Linked DNA regions of Macaca mulatta. The protein of the gene in region 3 purifies or fractionates together with the protein of the main gene of each other region. This does not show direct contact. Links are inferred from orthologs where the notes say so. Each region holds a gene or a part of one and is shown on either strand. Other genes may lie near its edges. The genes, in order: KEAP1, CLTC, MAP1LC3A and CLTCL1.

Region 1 (4,281 bases), on a different chromosome or scaffold from region 3:
TGAGACCAGCCTCACCAGCATGGAGAAACTCTGTCTCTACTGAAAATACAAAATTAGCGGCCGGGCGCGGTGGCTCAAGCCTGTAATCCCAGCACTGTGGGAGGCCGAGACGGGTGGATCACAAGGTCAGGAGATCAAGACCATCCTGGCTAACACGGTGAAACCCCATCTCTACTAAAAAATACAAAAAACTAGCCGGGCGAGGTGACGGGCGCCTGTAGTCCCAGCTACTCAGGAGGCTGAGGCAGGAGAATGGCGTGAACCCGGGAGGCGGAGCTTGCAGTGAGCTGAGATCCGACCACTGCACTCCAGCCTGGGCGACAGAGCAAGGCTCCGTCTCAAAAAAAAAAAAAAAATACAAAATTAGCCAGATGTGGTGGCACACGCCTGTAATCCCAGCTACTCGGGAGGTTGAGGCAGGAGAATCACTTGAACCCAGGAGGCAGAGGTTGCTGTGAGCTGAGATCACGCTATTGCACTCCAGCCTGCGCAACAAGAGCAAAACTCTGTCTCAAAATAAAAGGAAAAAAAAAAAAATGAGCTTGGGGAGCCCTGGGAGATGTGACTAGGAATTAGCTCCTTGTCTTCCAAGGCAGCTGAAACTGAAGGACAGCTGTGTGGCTTGCCTATGGGGAGAAAGATGCCCTACATATCAAAATGCGATGGGCAAAGATTACAAAACGGTTTCAAATACCAGCCCTAAGTCAAAGAGGAGTGTGTTTCAGGAGAAGAGCCCTTTCTGGCCCCGGGTTTCAGACCTCCAGCCCAGAGCCAGGGTGAAAGACACTAGTTAGTCTGTTCTTTATTTTCCTTGGAAAATTACAGGGTTACTTATCAACAAAATAACTGTCCATCCGGTGGGGAAGTGCCATCCGGTGGCTTCTATGTACAGGCCCATCCCTGGGAACCACATTTCCAGAGGGGGCCTCCGCCTGAGGCCCCCATTGGCCCCCTCCCAGGTATCCAAGAACAAATCACAAGGTGAGGGCTGCCGGCGTGGCTGGCTGGGTGGGTGGGACCCAGGGCCAGAGGGTTTGGGGGCCTCTCTCCTGGAAGCCTGCTCTTTCCACACCCCCTTTCCCAGCCAGGCTGTCTTGGACACTCCTGGGGCTCCGCTGAGAGGCACATGATTCCCGCTTTGGACTTCTTTTTGAGATGTCATTTTAACACTGAGGCATCGCGGCCTCCCTTCCCGGAAGATGGGTTATTTGCAGTGCTGTCTTTTTTCTTTTAATCCTGGTTTTTGTACAAAAACAATGATACTCCCCATTGGACTGTATTTTCGCCCAAGAAACAAAAGTGCCTCAACAGGTACAGTTCTGCTGGTCGATCTGCTTCCGGCAGGGCTCCATGGTGACAGCCACGCCCACTCCGCTCCGGCCCGATGTCATTCGGGTCACCTCGCTCCAGGTGTCTGTATCTGGGTCGTAACACTCCACACTGTCCAGGAACGTGTGACCATCATAGCCTCCTGCAGGAAGAACAGAAGGGACGGTCACCACCTGTCACACCACATCCAAGAGCAGGGGACAGAAAGAGGGAGAAGCAGCTGTGAGATGCAAAAGCAGGCCGGGCGCAGTGGCTCACGCCTATAATCCTAGCACTTTGCAGGGCTGAGGCGGGAGGATCGCTTGAGGCCAGGAGTTCGAGGACAGCCTGGGCAACATAGCAAACTCTAGTCTCTTACTGAAGAAAAAAAAAAAAAAAAAGGCCAGGCGCGGTAGCTCAGCCTGTAAATCTAGCACTTTGGGAGACTGAGGTGGGTGGATCACTTGAGTCCAGGAATTTGAGACCAGCCTGGGCAACATGGTGAAATCCCATCTCTACCAAAAAAAAACATAAAAATTTAGCCAGGCGTGGTGGTGCGTGCCTGTAGTTCCAGCTACTAGGGAGGCTGAGACAGGAGAATCACTGGAACCTGGAAGGCAGAGGTTGCAGTGAGCCGAGATCACGCCATTGCATTCCAGCCTGGGCAACACGAGCAAAACTCTGTCTCAAAAAAATAAAATAAAAATAAATAAAAACAGCCGGGTGCTGTGGCTCACGCCTGTAATCCCAGCACTTTGGGAGGCCGAGGTGGGCGGATCACAAGGTCAGGAGATTGAGACCATCCTGGCTAACATGGTGAAACCCCATCTCTACTAAAAATACAAAAAAAAATAAAAATTAGCCGGGCGTGGTGGCAGGTGCCTATAATCCCAGCTACTCGGGAGGCTGAGCCAGGAGAATGGCATGAACCTGGGAGGTAGAGCTTGCAGTGAGCCGAGAGTGTGCCACTGCACTCCAGCCTGAGCGACAGAGCCAGACTCCGTTTCAAAAATAAATAAATACATAAATAACATTAAGCCGAGTGTGGTGGCTCACGCCTGTAATCCCAGCACTTTGGGAGGCTGATGTGGGCAGATCACCTGAGGTCAGGAGTTCAAGACCAGCCTGACCAGCATGGTGAAACCCCATCTCTACTAAAATATAAAAATTAGCAGGGCATAGTGGTGGGCACCTGTAATATCAGCTACATGGGAGGCTGAGGGGGGAGAATCGCTTGAAACCAGGAGGCGGAGGTTGCAGTGAGCTGAGATCGCGCCATTGCACTCCAGCCTGGCAACAGAGCGAGACTCCTGTCTCAAAAAAAGAAAAAGCCCCAGCGCGGTGGCTCACGCCTATAATCCCAGCACTTTGGAAGGCTGAAGTGGGTGGATCACGAGGTCAGGAGTTCGAGACCAGCCTGGCTAACATGGTGAAACCCTATCTCTACTAAAATACAAAAAATTAGCCAGGTGCGGTGGCACACACCTATAGTCCCAGCTACTCAGGAGGCTAAGACAGGAGAATTGCTTGAACCTCCAGGAGGCGGAGGTTGCAGTGAGCTGAGATCATGCCATTGCACCCCAGCCTGGGCAACATTGCGAGACTCCATCTCAAAAAAACAAACATTAGCCGGGTGTGGTGGTGCGTGCGTGTGGTCCCTGCTACTTGGGAAGCTGAGGCAGGAGGATGGCTGGAGCCCAGGAGGTTGAGGCTCCAGCAAGCTGTGATCACACCACTGCACTCAGCCTGGGCGACAGAGCGAGACCCTGTTTCTAAGAAAAAAAAAAAAAAAAAAAGGAAAGCAAAAAAGCAAAAGCAGCCACAGTCCACAAGAGATGGGGCTAGTCGGGACTCTTCCCCACCCCCAGGGCCTCACCAAGGACGTAGATTCTCCCCTGGTGGACAGTGATCCCCAGGGCACTTCGCCGGTGCTTCATGGGGGCTACGAAAGTCCACGTCTCTGTTTCCACGTCATAACGCTCCACGCTGTTCAGCTGGTCCTGACCATCATAGCCCCCGGCAGCATAGATGCAGTTGTGCAGGACACAGACGCCTAAAGGGCACCGTGCAGAGAAGGTGACTCTGGAGGACTGGCTTTGGGAGCCCCAGCCATCACCTCCTTGAGGGAGACCTTTCCTCTCTCCTCTCCCTTCTCACCCTCAGAAATGAAGCATGGAGAGAGAGAAGCTTGGACTCTATCAGAATCCAGTGCTTCTGTGGTTATCTCAGGGTGAGGGTTGCAACAGGGGGTCTCTCCCAGGCCTGGCTCAGTTTCACCCCAGGATGGTGGGGGTGTTCCTGGATGCTCCCCTCACTACCGTCCCCACCCACCTGCCCCGCTTCGGATGGTGTTCATTGCTGTGATCATTCGCCACTCGTTCCTCTCTGGGTAGTAACGCTCAGCTGAATTAAGGCGGTTTGTCCCGTCAAAGCCCCCCACGGCATAAAGCAGACGATTGAGGACGGCCACGCCCACCCCGATCCTTCGTGTCAGCATTGGGGCCACCAAGTGCCACTCATCCCGCTCTGGCTCATACCTGCAAGGGCATAAGAAAAATGGGGACAATGGCCATTATAGCTGACCTTCGTGGAATACTTAAAGGCCTGATACCCCTTTTTTCCCTTTTTTTCTTCCTTTAAAGAGACAGGGTCATCAGGCGCAGTGGCACGTGTCTGTAATCCCAGCACTTTGGGAGGCCGAGGAGGGTGGATCACCTGAGGTCAGGAGTTTAAGACCAGCCTGGCCAATATGGTAAAACCTTGTCTCTATTAAAAATACAAAAATTAGCTGGGTGTGATGGCAGGTGCCTGTAATCCCAGCTACTCGGGACGCTGAGGTGAGATAATCATTTGAACCTGGGAGGTGTAGGTTGCAGTGAGCTGAGATCGTGCCACTGCACTCCAGCCTAGGCGACAGAGAAAGACTCCATTTCAAAAAAAAAAACAAAAAAAAGAGACAGGGTCTTGCTCTGT
Region 2 (4,498 bases), on a different chromosome or scaffold from region 3:
GTTTCCAGTTTTTAATCCTACGTGTTTCAGAAAATTTTCTGCTACTTAGCAAACTGGTAGAAGCTCAGAGGTCAGAGACCTAAGACGCCAATTAAAATAATCCTTATTAGTTGGGCTCAGTGGTTCACACCTATTATCCCAGCACTTTGGGAGGCCAAGGCAAAGGATTGCTTGAGCCCAGGAATTCGAGACTAGCCTGGGCAACATAGTGAAGCCCCATCTCTACAAAAAATACAAAAATTAGCCAGGTGTGGTGGCTCATGGCCGTAGTCCCAACTACTCAGGATGCTGAGGTGGGAGGATGGCTTGAGCCCAGTAGGTCAAGGCTGCAGTGACCTGTGACAGTGCCACTGACCTCCAGCAAAAACCCTGTCTCTTCAAAAAACAAAAACCTTATTAATTTTTCAAAAGGTAGGAGATAATGAAGTCAGGAGATATATTATCATGGAAGAGGCTGTAGTTATTTGCGCTCTGCAATTAATCAGCTGGAGCACACAGTCATATTAGCTAAGCAAGCTTAACTTTAGGCATGACATAGCAATCCAAAACACAGAGGGCTGAATTTTCAATTTGCAAATCTGCTTTATATTCAAAATCTTCAAATTATTTGAGAAGAAAATGGCTTCATTCAAGTATCTGCTGAAACTGAGCCAGTTACAAAACAGACATGTATTAAATTTGTCTTCAATAAGTGACAAGGTTGGGTTCCAATCTCTGGCATCATTTAACAATTCTTGTCTCCTCTTTAAAAGAAATGAAAAGCTATTACTCGAACCACCACAAGATTTAGTAGTGAGCTATACATCTGCCATGGAAAATAAACAGCAGCTGTACTTGATTCTTTGTGTGGTTTATAAACATTTGTCTGCAGAAAGATATTTCAGATGCAGCTTAGTATGAAAACAAGCCCGCGTTTTCCCCTCACACTTAAGAACAGCACTTTCTCAACTCTCCACATTCATTTGCCACCCCACTTTAACAAAAATAACTAAAGCAATTAAACTTGGATTGATTAAAAAAAAATCCACTTTGTTATTTAACGTTTTTAACCTTCTGTAAAAGTGTTTTTATTATTGGCATAAATATATTTATATATATATGCCAAGATATGCCAAGGTATATTCCATTACTTCAGATGAGTTATTTGAAAATTATAGATGACTGAAGAAAGTGCATTATTTGACTCATTTTATGGGTAAAGATTTATTATTCTTTACATTTCAAGCCTTAAAGGAAAATAAGTCCTTGCTAGTGCAAACATGGTAATACCTGCAAAGAAATATGAAATTATGTTACTTATAGCCTGAATATTAAAACCTTTTATTAACAAAACTCTTTTATGTATGTTATACCAATGGGGGAATGTAAATAAAAATGGTCTTCAATGGTAAAGTGTCTAATAAGTCACTGATATTAGTGTCATGTCAAACCACTGCATTCTCTGTCATTATGGAATTAGCCCTTCAGACGATAGAGCTGAGGCAGGTTTCTTTAAGGGGATATTTGGGAAGAAAGCAAATTAATAGGAATAAATTGTTTCAGCTACAGTAAAAATCAGGATTGGTGACACAGGAAAATCAAAAGCTCTGAAGAGGTTTAATTCAGTGAAGCCTTCCAATGGTCACCTGCCTAGGCCAGCGATTGGCATGCTGCCAGATGAGACAACAATATGTTGCCTCCAGGATAAGGAACCATGGGAAAGAACTCTAGAACTTACTAAAGGGAAGCCAGTTACAGACCAAATAGCCCCGCAGGTCTCAGAGCAGCTGTGCTCTGTCCCCAGGGCTCTGTTCAATTCCATGCGATCCTGAGGAAGATATTCAAAACTACCTGCTACTACTCGAGAAGACTAGAAGATAACCTCTGTATCACTCTTTCCTACCTTCTAGAACCAAAGAGGGGTTAAGAGCCACAACATCCCCAAAGAAATAAAAAAAGTGGGAAGGGGAGGCGAGTTTCCTTAGGGAGCTCGACCCCACACACTCTGAGATTGACATCGTTCTGAGAAATGCGTTCTCCCATTCTACCCTCGTTTCGTTCTTTCAGTGACCTTCTGTCCCTACTGCCTCAAGGAAGGCAAGAGACAAGCCACCGCCTCACCACCACCCCCAACCCCCACCACCGGAGAAGGTGCCTTTCTCAGTTGAGAGCCGCAGAGGGAGGAAAAAAAAAAGGTTGCTCCTCCCCAACCCACCCGCCCCACAACTCCTGGGTGCAGACACGAAGAGGGAAAGAGGAGAGCAATGGAAGGTGACAGCCCCGCACTGGCCCAGGGGATAAGAATCCTTGCTCTGGTAGAAACAAGAGAGAATCCCCCCTCCCACTCCCCTACCCAAATGAATGAACTGAACAAAATGGGGAGGAGAGAGTTTGTACGCGCAGTTCTGGCCATCCAGGAAGCAAGATCGAGAGGCCTTTGGATCCAGGCCTGGTCTTTGCAGCCCTTTGCACCCCAACTCCTGTCCTTTCATCCAAGCCCCACATCATTTAACAGTTTAAGCTTTCTAAGATAGTGCCCCCTCCTCCACCTACCCCAAAGACCGACAACCCCCCCACCCCTCCAGCTCCGATCCTGCTCGGGGCCCAGACTCCAGCTTCTTCCACTATTCCTACCACCTTCTCCACAGCCCTCACCAGCCCGGGCCCGGCCGCACCTGGAGATGCTCCTGAAAACGAATTGGCAGAATCTGGGCCATGGCGCTGTCGGGGGGAATGGTCTCCTCCTGTCACTGGGGCTGCGGGGCAGTGGCTGCCCGGGCTCTCCGAGGGAGAGGAGGAGAAGGGGAGGGGGGAGGCTGGGCTCAGCAGGATCCTCTCCGGGGACGCAGGAAACTGGCACGCAGACGAAAGAGCTCGGGTCGGGGGCGGAGGCTCCACGGGCCAGGAGAGCCGCAATGGCGGAACCGGGCGCAGCGCAGACTCCGGAAACGGCTGAGCCCAGCGGAAGGATCCCGGCGACAGAACTCCGCCCAGTCGCCTCACCCCCTCCGCCTTATGTACCCCTCCACGGAGCGGTGCGTGCGGCGGGTGCAGGAATTCCGGGCGCTGTGCGCCCGGAGCCTCTCTTCTGACGCCACACGGGGGGCAACAGAGGAACCGGAGGGACTACTTTTTTAGACTCATCACTTTCGCCAATCTTCTTTTTCTACCCCCACTTTTTTTTTTTTTTTTTTGCATTTTGCCACATCATGCGACTCGGAGCGACCGACGTCACTTCCGTGGGCGCTTTAGGTCCCACCCACGTACTTCCAGGTGCACGTGATACTGATGGGGAAGGGTCGGCTGATTGCTGCCAGAATGGAGAGCGCGTTTTAAGGAAATGCGGCGTCTCCTGGGAGTGAAGTGGCTGTTGGGCCACCTTGAGGCATGACGGGTGCCGCTTCCTTCCCCTGCGACCCCTGCCTGTTTGGACTGAGCCCCTTACAGGAGGACGTGGCGGGGGCAGACGGGGGCAGCCTCCCGCCCTCTCCGTGACTCAGGGAAACGGCCTCGCCGCAGAGCGCTCCCTCGGCAGCTGGCTGCAGCACTCCTCCCCCGCCGGGCTTCAGAGTGGGTGGTTTCCTACAGCCTAGGGAGGGGGCCTGAAACGGGGTTTAAAATCCTCCCTGCCCTCACACACGCCCTTCTGACGGTTGGAGAACCTGACGCGCGGATTCTAACTAGAACCGGCACTCTCTTCGGGTGTTAGATAATTAGCTCAAAGGACAGCGAAGGCCATTTATGATGTGTCTCAAGCTGGCCTTATGACAGCTTCTCTTAACGTTTCTGCGGACATTTTGGCGGGCGGACATGTGTCAGCCTAGCTCAGTAATCAGTTTCGTTAAAGAATTCGAGTATCAGAACGTACAAGGATTGGACTCAAATTCTAGCAGGAGGATTTTTAGCCACATCAAATAATTTATGTCTCAGAGATTTAGATAATTAGGGTAAGGATGCTTGGTAAAGCCTGAAGGTTCCTGGAGGAAAGAGATGAACTGTTAGTCGTGCATTTCCGTGGGACCACCTCAACATAGGTTCCTGTAGGTTAGCAGTGTAGAAATGCAGCGCTTCAAAGCCGGAGCATCATGTCTTCAAAGAGCATGGAGGTATCAACGGCATTCATTGTCGATTAATAATAACCTTCCCAGTACTTTCTTGCTAAAGTATAAGCCATAATATTTCATAATCGCACCAATACAAAAAAGGATGAAAGACTTTAATTCTGTGCCTTTTATCTTTGTAAGAGAGGTGATTCCCCACCCTCCCCCGAAAGAGAAAAGCTCAAGTCCACAGTAATTATTTTTAGTGCCCTTTTCAGTTAAAGGACATAAAACCCTACTGGGTAGACAGTAATTTTGTGTGCTAAGTTTGAGTTAGGGTGAGAAGTTTGCCAATCAGTTGCTTTTAGTGTTTTTCTCTTTTACTTAACTGTCTCATACTGAGCACGAGAGAAGAATCTGGCAGGTAACAGGGCAAAGATTGTTCTGCAAAGAAAAGTCTTACCACCATGTTGTAAGAG
Region 3 (3,908 bases):
ATGCTAGCAGTTCAGGGATCCTGGGCTCACGGGGAGATACCCTGCAGCACCTCATATCCTCTCTCTCCCCCCAGATCCTGCTCATCTCTGATTACTTCTATGCCTTCCTGCGGCGGGAGTACTACCTCACACACGGCCTCTACTTGACCGCCAAGGACGGCACAGAGGCCATGCTTGTGCTCAAGTAGGCCTGGCTGGCACAGGGCTTTGTGGACCTCAGGGGGCTGAGGGGCCAGAAGCTGGGCCAAGCCCTCCAGTCAGAGTTGCCAGCAGGCGAGTGCTCGGGCAGAAGAGGTTCGAGTCCAGGGTCACAAGTCTCTGGTACCAAAAGAGACCCATGGCTGATAGTAAGGCCTGTGGGGAAGAACTGGAAGCTCCCCAACTTGGACCCCCCCACTTCGTGGCTCTGCACACCAAGGAGCCCCCTCCCAGGCAGGAAGGAGAAGAGGCAGGTGAGCAGGGCTTGTTAGGTTGTAGCTACTTAATAAATGTTTTTTGTTATGAAGTCTACCCTGAGACCACATCTGCATTGCACTCCTAGAGGGTTGGACCCTAATGTTCTGAACACTACACACAGGTGTGGGTTTCCAGAGCAAGCACTGAGGCCACAGAACACAAGTCTGTGCGCCAGAGCCCGGGGATGGTGCAGACAGCCCTACCAGCACCCTTCCCACTCCCAAGCAAGCAGCTGGAGGCACGGGGCCAGGCAGGCCTGAGCAATCTTTATTCTGCAGAGGGACAATGACCACAGATCCATACACCATGTGGAGACCGAGGGGCGGGGAGCCAGGGGCCAGTCTTTCAGGGGTGGGCAGGTCCAGGCGTGGGCAGAGCCTTGGGTGGGTGAGGGGCAGATGGGCAGTCAGGCAGGGGCCTAAAAAAAAGATGAACCACACAGCGGGGTGCTGGGGGCTGCTCCCAACCCTCCCCCATCCCAGCCAGCACCCAGAGGGACAACCCTAACACAACCGGCCCAGGATCCACCCAGGGGCAGAGTAGGTGGGTTGCCCTCTGACTAGGGGGGCACATGCCTGCCCAGCCCACCACGGCAGAGGCAGCTCAGTTCAGGAACCAGGAGCTCTCTGGGCAGGGCCTGACCGGGCCCCCCCCCACTCCCAGGCCGACCCCCCTACTGCTGGCTCAGAAGCCGAAGGTTTCCTGGGAGGCGTAGACCATGTAGAGGAAGCCGTCCTCGTCTTTCTCCTGCTCGTAGATGTCCGCGATGGGCGTGGACACGCTCACCATGCTGTGCTGGTTCACCAGCAGGAAGAAGGCCTGCGTGGGGTTCAGCTGCAGGCGGCGCCTGAGGCAGGCGGGAGAGTATGTGGCTGTAAGGGGCTTGGCTACGGGGCAACGTAGCCCTGACCCCCAGAATGATTCCCAGCCTTTCACACCCATCCTCACCCCACCTGTCACCTCTGACCCGGCACCGACTGCAGCCCCGACCTTGACCTTTCCAGCCGCCCCAGAACAGGGGTCCACCACCGGTCCCATCACCCCTGACCCCTTCTCGGCGGGAACCCGTCTCCCTTCCCGACCCAAGCCACCACCTGGCAGCGGCTGCCCACGCACCGGATGATCTTGACCAACTCGCTCATGTTGACATGGTCCGGGACCAGAAACTTGGTCTTGTCCAGGACGGGCAGCTGCTTCTCACCCTTGTAGCGCTCGATGATCACCTGGGAGCAGGGCGGGCGGGCAGGGGGTTGTGTCGGGGACGCGCGAGGCGGGGCCGGGGCAGGGCTGGGGGTGCAGGACTTACCGGGATTTTGCTGGGGTGCTGGTCGCGGATCTGCTGTACCTCCTTACAGCGGTCGGCTGCGGACAGCGGCCAGACCGTGAGGCCGGGTCGGCCCGGCCCAGGTCCTCCCCACGTCTCCGCCTGCCTGTCCCCAAGGGGCGGCCCCCGGCCACGCCCCAGCTCCAGCCCCCGCCCCCGGGGCCGTCAGGCCCCACAGCCCCTGGCACCTATCGTGGTGGGGAAGCAGGCAGCCCCCGCCCAGGCCGGAGCCAGCCTCCCAGCCCGAGGGTCCAGCCGAAGCCTGACGTCACGGGGCTGACGTCACCTGCGGCAGTCTGGGTCGGCCGGGCACCCCCCCTCCCCGGCACCCCTACCCCGAGCTCACAGCTCGCCTGCCGGGCCTCACCGAAGCTCCGCCGCTGCTTGAAAGGCCGGTCGGAGGGCATCGCGCGGGCCCGGCTGGGCGCGCAGGCCGGGGCTCTGGGGCGCGGAGATGTGGCTGCGGTTTGGGGGCTCCGGGGGCTCCGTGCCTCGCGCTCAAGGGCTCCGGCGCTCGCGCTGAGCACGGCGGCGGCGGCTGCGGGAGGTAACTCGCCCGGTGACGTCAGGTCACAACATTCCTTAAAGGGGAGGCCGGCGCGCAGCTCCCATTGGGCCGACGCACAACCCGCCCGCCCGGACCCGTGACGTCACGGCGCAGAGAGCCTGGGTCCCCGGCCCGGGACACGAGAGGCGGGGCTCCTGGGCGCGTCACAGTCCCGTGACGTCATGAGCAGCGCGGGAGCCTCTCCCGTGGCCCCGACTCTGGTGAGGCCGGGAGAGCGGTGGGGCCGCCCTGGGCCGATGGAGCGGGTGGGCCAGGCTGCAGCCCCGTGGCACCACTTCCTTCCCTCACCGAGTCTGTGTCAGGACTGACCCGCGGCTCTGGGCACCGTGGGAAACAGCGGGAGCCAAAGGCCCGGCGCCTTCAAGGGGGCTCAGGGCAAGAGAAGGGAGAAGGTGCGGGAGGCACAGTCAGACACAGGATAGAGCAAGACGCTAGAAATGAACGCCCAGGTTTGAAAAAGAATAATATAATTGAAGAGTAGAGCTATCGAAATTCAGGTCTCAGAGGATGTGGCAAGAAGGCAGAGCAGGACAACAGAAGAGAAATCGTGGACCTGGAGGCTGATAGCAAGCAGCTTACCAGAGGACAGGTGATGGAGAATTAAAAGGAAAAGGCCACGGATGGCAACGCCAGGAGAACTCGCAGGCCGGAGCAGAGCTCCACAGGCGAGCACTGAAAGACCTGCAGAGGCAGTTCCTGAATGAGAGCTGTCAGAAATGATGCTTAAAATCCAGAGCAGAAGGCACAGACCGAAGATCAACATCTTTTTTTTTTTTTTTTTTTGAAAGGGAGTTTCGTTCTTTCGCCAGGCTAGAGTGGTGCGATCTCAGCTCACTGCAACCTCCGCCTCCCTGGTTCAAGCGATTCTCCTGCCTCAGTCAGCCTCCTAAGGAGCTGGGATTATTAGGCGCCTGCCACCACGCCTAGCTACTTTTTATGTTTTTAGTAGAGATGGGGTTTCACCATGTTGGCCAGGATGGTCTCGATCTCCTGACCTCGTGATCCGCCCGCCTCAGCCTCCCAAAGTGCTGGGATTACAGGCGTGAGCCACTGCGCCCAGCCGCCAAAATAATTTTTAAAGAATGTACTTCAGTATCAAAGACATGGAACCCAAAAGGAAGAAATTAGATGGAAAAATGGTGAGCAAATTAGTAAACATGTCAGTAAATCTAAACAAGTATTTAATATGCAACATGAATAATGGATAATCTGTGGGCCACAGAAACAAGATGCATGAGACAGAAGAACATGGGAGACTGAGAGGGCAATCAGAGTTAAGGTGTTTTAGGAAGTTCGATTTGAGAGGGGGATAAAGAGACTAAGCATTCTCTGGCTTTGTAAAGTCAGGTGTGTATTTCAGATATTTAAGAGGGATCATCAAAAGAATACAAACTATAATGGACGCCAGAAAAGGAGAAAAAGGAAGCAAAGTAAAAGGGATGGTAAATATATAGTACAAAACCAGAGGTAGAAAATGTGGTTTACGTTCACCTCTTAAAACACAGATGACCAGATTGGCCAAGAAAAAATAAAATGCAGCTCTATGCTATTTACAAGAGG
Region 4 (4,585 bases), about 54 Mb from region 3:
GAATTATAATATGAACCTCAGTGACCCATGGTAGAAAACAGGATATCACTACCTGCCTCAGTTATCATGAGAATTAAATTAAACGAGATTTATAAAATACAATAGTCAGTGGCAAGAGAAATGGCTCAATAAATGATAACTACATCATCTCATTATTATGAGCAGCAGCAGTATTTTGCTACCTCAACATGACTGGCGCTGGCTCAGCTTAGTGGCAGAATGAAGTCCAGGGGGACAGATGTCGAGGCACTTCCACCTCCACACAATTTCCACTGTGTCACTAACCAAGCGACCCTGGCAGGATCCTCTGGATATCAAGTTTCCAGTCTGCAGAATGAGGGGACCGGACTGGTCACTACACAGGTCCCAAGGCCTTTCCCGTCTGCATCTAGGGCTAACAATGCTCTGCACTGTGAAAACAGGAACTTTCAATCAAGCACGTTCCTCGATGTACTACTTTGTAGTCAAAAAGACTGGAGTCTGAATCCTGTTCTTATTGAATGAAGATGAGTTCAACACTTTTGAGACTCGGTTTCCTCATCTACAAAAGAGTAAGCGAATCGCAACGAATGGGAGTGTGATGATTTAACATGGAGCACTCAGGGAGGAGCCGCTGGAGACCCTCCTCTGTCGCACCTCCCCGGGTAAACGAGGGGACCAGCGCCGTTCCCGGGCAGACCCGTGAGCGGCCCGCAAGGCGCCCGACCCAAGCCTTTGCTCAAAGCAGGCGACCAGTCCTTATGTTCCTGAGCACAAACAAACGGAGAACAAACTGGGACCTTATTAAAAAGGCAGGCTTTGGAAGTGTTACTGCATTGAAAAGCCCTACTTCGGCTTAGCCCTGAGAAATTTTTCTCTTGGGTCACGCATGTTCACGGTCCTCCCAGGGGAAGCCGCCCTGGGAACGAAAACAGAGCACAGAGGCAAACTCAGGGGCGAATAAGGACCGGAGAACACCAAGCGGGGCGTGGAGCTGTGGGATCGGCGCGGCCCTCGGGTTGCCCCGCCTGAAGCGGGAATCTGTGTGCGTCCTCGCGGGCACTGAGCGGGGCGTCCCAGGGGGCGTTCGCTTCCACCACCAGCGTTCCCCAGCCGGCGCCCGCCGGTAACGGGCTTCGGCGACGGCACCCGAGCGGGTCCTCGCGAGCGGCCGCCGCGCCCGGGACCCCGCAGCCCCAACCCAGGTGGGAGGTCAGAAGTCGGCGCGGCCAGCTGGCCAGCGGCTCAGCGGGGCTAGGGGCGCGGGGTCAAGCCTGAGAGGCCGGCCGGCGGAGGCGCGGCTGACAGGACGGAGCGCGGGGCGCATCCCCCGGGCCCTCCGGGCCTCACCTGGAAGTGCTCTTGAAAGCGAATAGGGAGGATCTGCGCCATGGCTGGTGCGGGACCTAGGCAGCTGCGGCGGCGGCGGTGGAAGCGGCAGGGATGACCGCCGACCCCTCGCGCGGGCTGACCGGTGGCGACGGCGCAGGCGCAGTTGTTCCGACTCCAGGTCCCGGCCCCCGCCCTCCTCCTGACGGCGCCCTGGCCCCCACCCCCTCCGCTGCCCCTCCCCCGTCCCTCGTCCCTCCCCTGCCCCTCCCCCGCGCCCCTTCCTCCCGCCCCTCCCCTGCCCCCGCTCCCCCGCCCCCGCCCCGCCCCCGCCCCGCCCCGCCCCCGCCCCCGCCCCGCCCCCGCCCCGCCCCGCCCCGCCTGCGCAGATCCCTCCCCCCGCTCCGAGGGTCCGCGGAAAGTAGTCCCGCGCGCCCTCTGCCCTGAAGCGGTGTGCGCGAGGTCCCCGAGTGAAAGGTTTTCAGGGGATAAACCCTGACAGGGTCTGCGGCGGTCCTTGCCCAGCGCCTTCCACATGTGGAGCGGGGCAGTGGTGCTAGTTCTGCCTCCAACTCTGGACGGTTGAGTTCAGGGCCACTTTTTACGCAGGCACGGATGTGACAGAAACATGGAAAAGGGCCTTGGAAGAACCACATGTGCCATATAACGAACGACCTCTTGGTCTGAGGAGGACCGTGTATATGACGGTGGTCCCATAAGATGATAACGGAGCTGGAAACTTCCTGTCCTCTGGTGAGGGCTTAGCCAAGGACATTTCCTTCCCTGTATTTGGAGATAACACGGTACAGGTGTGTCATTACGGGTGCCGGCGGAATTCTGCACCTCACACGCGGTGCGGGTGTACAGCCTAGCAGCAGCGGACCGCATCAGCTGCCTAGTTGTGTAGTGGCTGTGCCATCTGAGTTTGTGTAAGTTCCCTTGTGAGGATCCCACAGCCGAGACGCATGCCTCAGAATGCATGGATGCATGGGACACGTGACTGTACCTGTTACAGACGTGTTTCGGCGTGAGGCTCGGTCCCTGCTCCTTTAAGAAATATCTTTCCTGGCTCATGCAGTTTCTAGAGGACACTGTGTTGGAATATCAATGCTAAGAGTCAGCGAAGCTCATCTAGCAGCAGATGACCAGCCCCAGGCCAGTGAGGATCACCCAGAGTGCCCGTGGCTGCACGACAGTAGTAGCAGGTCGAAGCTGGAGCCCACACCTGGTTTGCCCAGCAGCCAGTTGTTTTTCCGAGGCACCGTTGGCTGAGGTGTTTTGCATACAGATGATTCAGCTGCATAAAAGATATCTGTCAGGAAAGGGAAGCCCTTGGCATTCAGCACAGGCACTCCTACGGTGTCATCGATAGCCGTCTCTGCTGCTTTCCTTGTTGCTCACTGGTAATTTTAAGATATGAACAGCCCACCTTGAATAAGACAAGGATGGTGCAATTATTTGCGCAACGGCTTGACCATCTAGAAGCCAAAAATATATTAAGGAATAGAACAGACTGTTCACTTTCAAGTTAAATCTCTTTTCCACTATTAGCCAAGACCTCTGCAGCCTGCCGTTTCTAAAATCCGTGTGGCCTCATCCGCTAAATATAGAGCTGGATTTTGCTGTGGGTAGTACTACATTTCCCAAATCCCTTTATTTTGGCAGTGATGCCTGTGACTCCAAGTACCCTTTACCCCAAACATTATATAAATCTTTTAGTAATTAATACCATCACTCCCTAAATCACCTTCCCCAGGGCTTTTAGGGGATTAAAACTAAAAATTTATACCCAAAAGAAAGAATTTGGCCGGGCGCGGTGGCTCAAGCTTGTAATCCCAGCACTTTGGGAGGCCGAGACGGGCTGATCACGAGGTCAGGAGATCGAGACCATCCTGGCTAACACGGTGAAACCCCGTCTCTACTAAAAAATACAAAAAAACTAGCCGGGCTAGGTGGCGGGCGCCTGTAGTCCCAGCTACTCGGGAGGCTGAGGCAGGAGAATGGCGGGAACCCGGGAGGCGGAGCTTGCAGTGAGCTGAGATCTGGCCACAGCACTCCAGCCTGGGCGACAGAGCGAGACTCCGCCTCAAAAAAAAAAAAAAAAAAAAAGAAAGAATTTAAGAAAATTGTAGTTAAGCAAAGTGACAGGATTGTTAATAAGTTGGGACCTCAAGTGAGGATTAAGTTTCAACATTAATTTTAGAGGAGACACAAATCTTTCTGTCTCTTCAAACCATAGAAGAGACAGAAAGCACATCAGTTATTTGACTAGACAGAAGTGAATATAAGTGATAGTTATAGTTAACAGGAAATAAAATTAATATATTTGTAAAAAAACTAAATGTTCTGACTTGAAAGGGACTTTACTATTCTCATCACTTGTAGGTAACTTGCTAAGTAACCCTTAAAAAAAACTTTCAATTTTTTTTTTTTTTTTTTTTTTTTTTTTTGAGACAGAGTCTGGCTCTGGCTCTCAGGCTGGTGTGCAGTGGCACGATCTCTGCTTACTGCAATCTCTGCCTCTCAGGTTCAAGCCATTCTCCTGCCTCAGCCTCCCAAGTAGCTGGGACTACAGGCGCCCACCACCATGCCTGGCTAATTTTTGCATTTTTAGTAGAGACAGGGTCTCACCATGTTGACCAGGCTGGTCTCAAACTCCTGGCCTCAGGTGATCCATCCACCTCGGCCTCCCAAAGTGCTGGGATTACAGGCGTGTGCCACCGCGCCTGGCCCGGGATTAAGTTTCAACATTAATTTTGGAGGGGACACAAACCTTCAAACCACAGAAGAGAAAGTGCATCAGTTATTTAAACAGAGGGAATTGAATATAAACAATAGTTAACAGGAAATAAAGTTAACTCAATAAAAGGAAAATCCCAAGATATGGAGGTACAAACATAGGACACAGCTACCACCCCTAGAACTCAAAGATGAAAAAGAAGCTGGAATTATTATAGCTTAAAGGAAGGGCTTGCAGAGCTGGAATTCAGATCTCTGAGGAGGTGTGTTGACCAGCTGGGGCTGGGCTCTTTGAGCCCAGAGGAGAGATCCCATGGGGATGGGACCCAGACCTCTGAGGAGGGTCCCTATGGGACTTAGACATATACTATGGATGAGGGGTGGCTGTGGAGCTGGGAGTAAGCCCCCTAAAGAGGGCACTGGGAGACTCTCACCCAGACCTCTAAGGAGAAGGCATATTGAGGCTGGTTCTGCAAGTCCTGGAAAAACTTCAAACTGGATTCAGCTTCTCCTGTGGGAAGAGTGTGCTGCTTCCTTG

What was found.
Region 1: the proteins of MAP1LC3A (region 3) and KEAP1 purify together in Homo sapiens (affinity purification with mass spectrometry; 3 studies listed by BioGRID and IntAct, with this or other methods). This does not show direct contact. The link is inferred for Macaca mulatta from reciprocal best matches to the Homo sapiens genes MAP1LC3A and KEAP1.
Region 2: the proteins of MAP1LC3A (region 3) and CLTC purify together in Homo sapiens (affinity purification with mass spectrometry; 3 studies listed by BioGRID and IntAct, with this or other methods). This does not show direct contact. The link is inferred for Macaca mulatta from reciprocal best matches to the Homo sapiens genes MAP1LC3A and CLTC.
Region 4: the proteins of MAP1LC3A (region 3) and CLTCL1 purify together in Homo sapiens (affinity purification with mass spectrometry; 3 studies listed by BioGRID and IntAct, with this or other methods). This does not show direct contact. The link is inferred for Macaca mulatta from reciprocal best matches to the Homo sapiens genes MAP1LC3A and CLTCL1.

The regions. Positions count from the first base shown.
Region 1 is NC_133424.1:11,213,003-11,217,283, forward strand, and holds the end of KEAP1 (kelch-like ECH-associated protein 1), read right to left. Parts: intron 3,846-4,281; coding exon 3,640-3,845; intron 3,362-3,639; coding exon 3,185-3,361; intron 1,472-3,184; coding exon 1,305-1,471; 3' UTR 778-1,304; downstream 1-777. UniProt on the Homo sapiens protein: Substrate-specific adapter of a BCR (BTB-CUL3-RBX1) E3 ubiquitin ligase complex that regulates the response to oxidative stress by targeting NFE2L2/NRF2 for ubiquitination.
Region 2 is NC_133421.1:50,364,926-50,369,423, forward strand, and holds the start of CLTC (clathrin heavy chain 1), read right to left. Parts: upstream 2,934-4,498; 5' UTR 2,697-2,933; coding exon 2,655-2,696; intron 1-2,654. UniProt on the Homo sapiens protein: Clathrin is the major protein of the polyhedral coat of coated pits and vesicles. Two different adapter protein complexes link the clathrin lattice either to the plasma membrane or to the trans-Golgi network.
Region 3 is NC_133415.1:87,344,025-87,347,932, reverse strand, and holds MAP1LC3A (microtubule-associated protein 1 light chain 3 alpha), read right to left. Parts: upstream 2,343-3,908; 5' UTR 2,188-2,342; coding exon 2,148-2,187; coding exon of another isoform or gene 2,127-2,147; intron 1,819-2,126; coding exon 1,763-1,818; intron 1,680-1,762; coding exon 1,573-1,679; intron 1,304-1,572; coding exon 1,141-1,303; 3' UTR 701-1,140; downstream 1-700. Other genes in the region: GPI-anchor transamidase component PIGU, read left to right, coding at 75-188. UniProt on the Homo sapiens protein: Ubiquitin-like modifier involved in formation of autophagosomal vacuoles (autophagosomes). While LC3s are involved in elongation of the phagophore membrane, the GABARAP/GATE-16 subfamily is essential for a later stage in autophagosome maturation.
Region 4 is NC_133415.1:33,412,365-33,416,949, reverse strand, and holds the start of CLTCL1 (clathrin heavy chain 2), read right to left. Parts: upstream 3,102-4,585; 5' UTR 1,846-3,101; coding exon 1,330-1,845; exon of another isoform or gene 1-1,329. UniProt on the Homo sapiens protein: Clathrin is the major protein of the polyhedral coat of coated pits and vesicles. Two different adapter protein complexes link the clathrin lattice either to the plasma membrane or to the trans-Golgi network.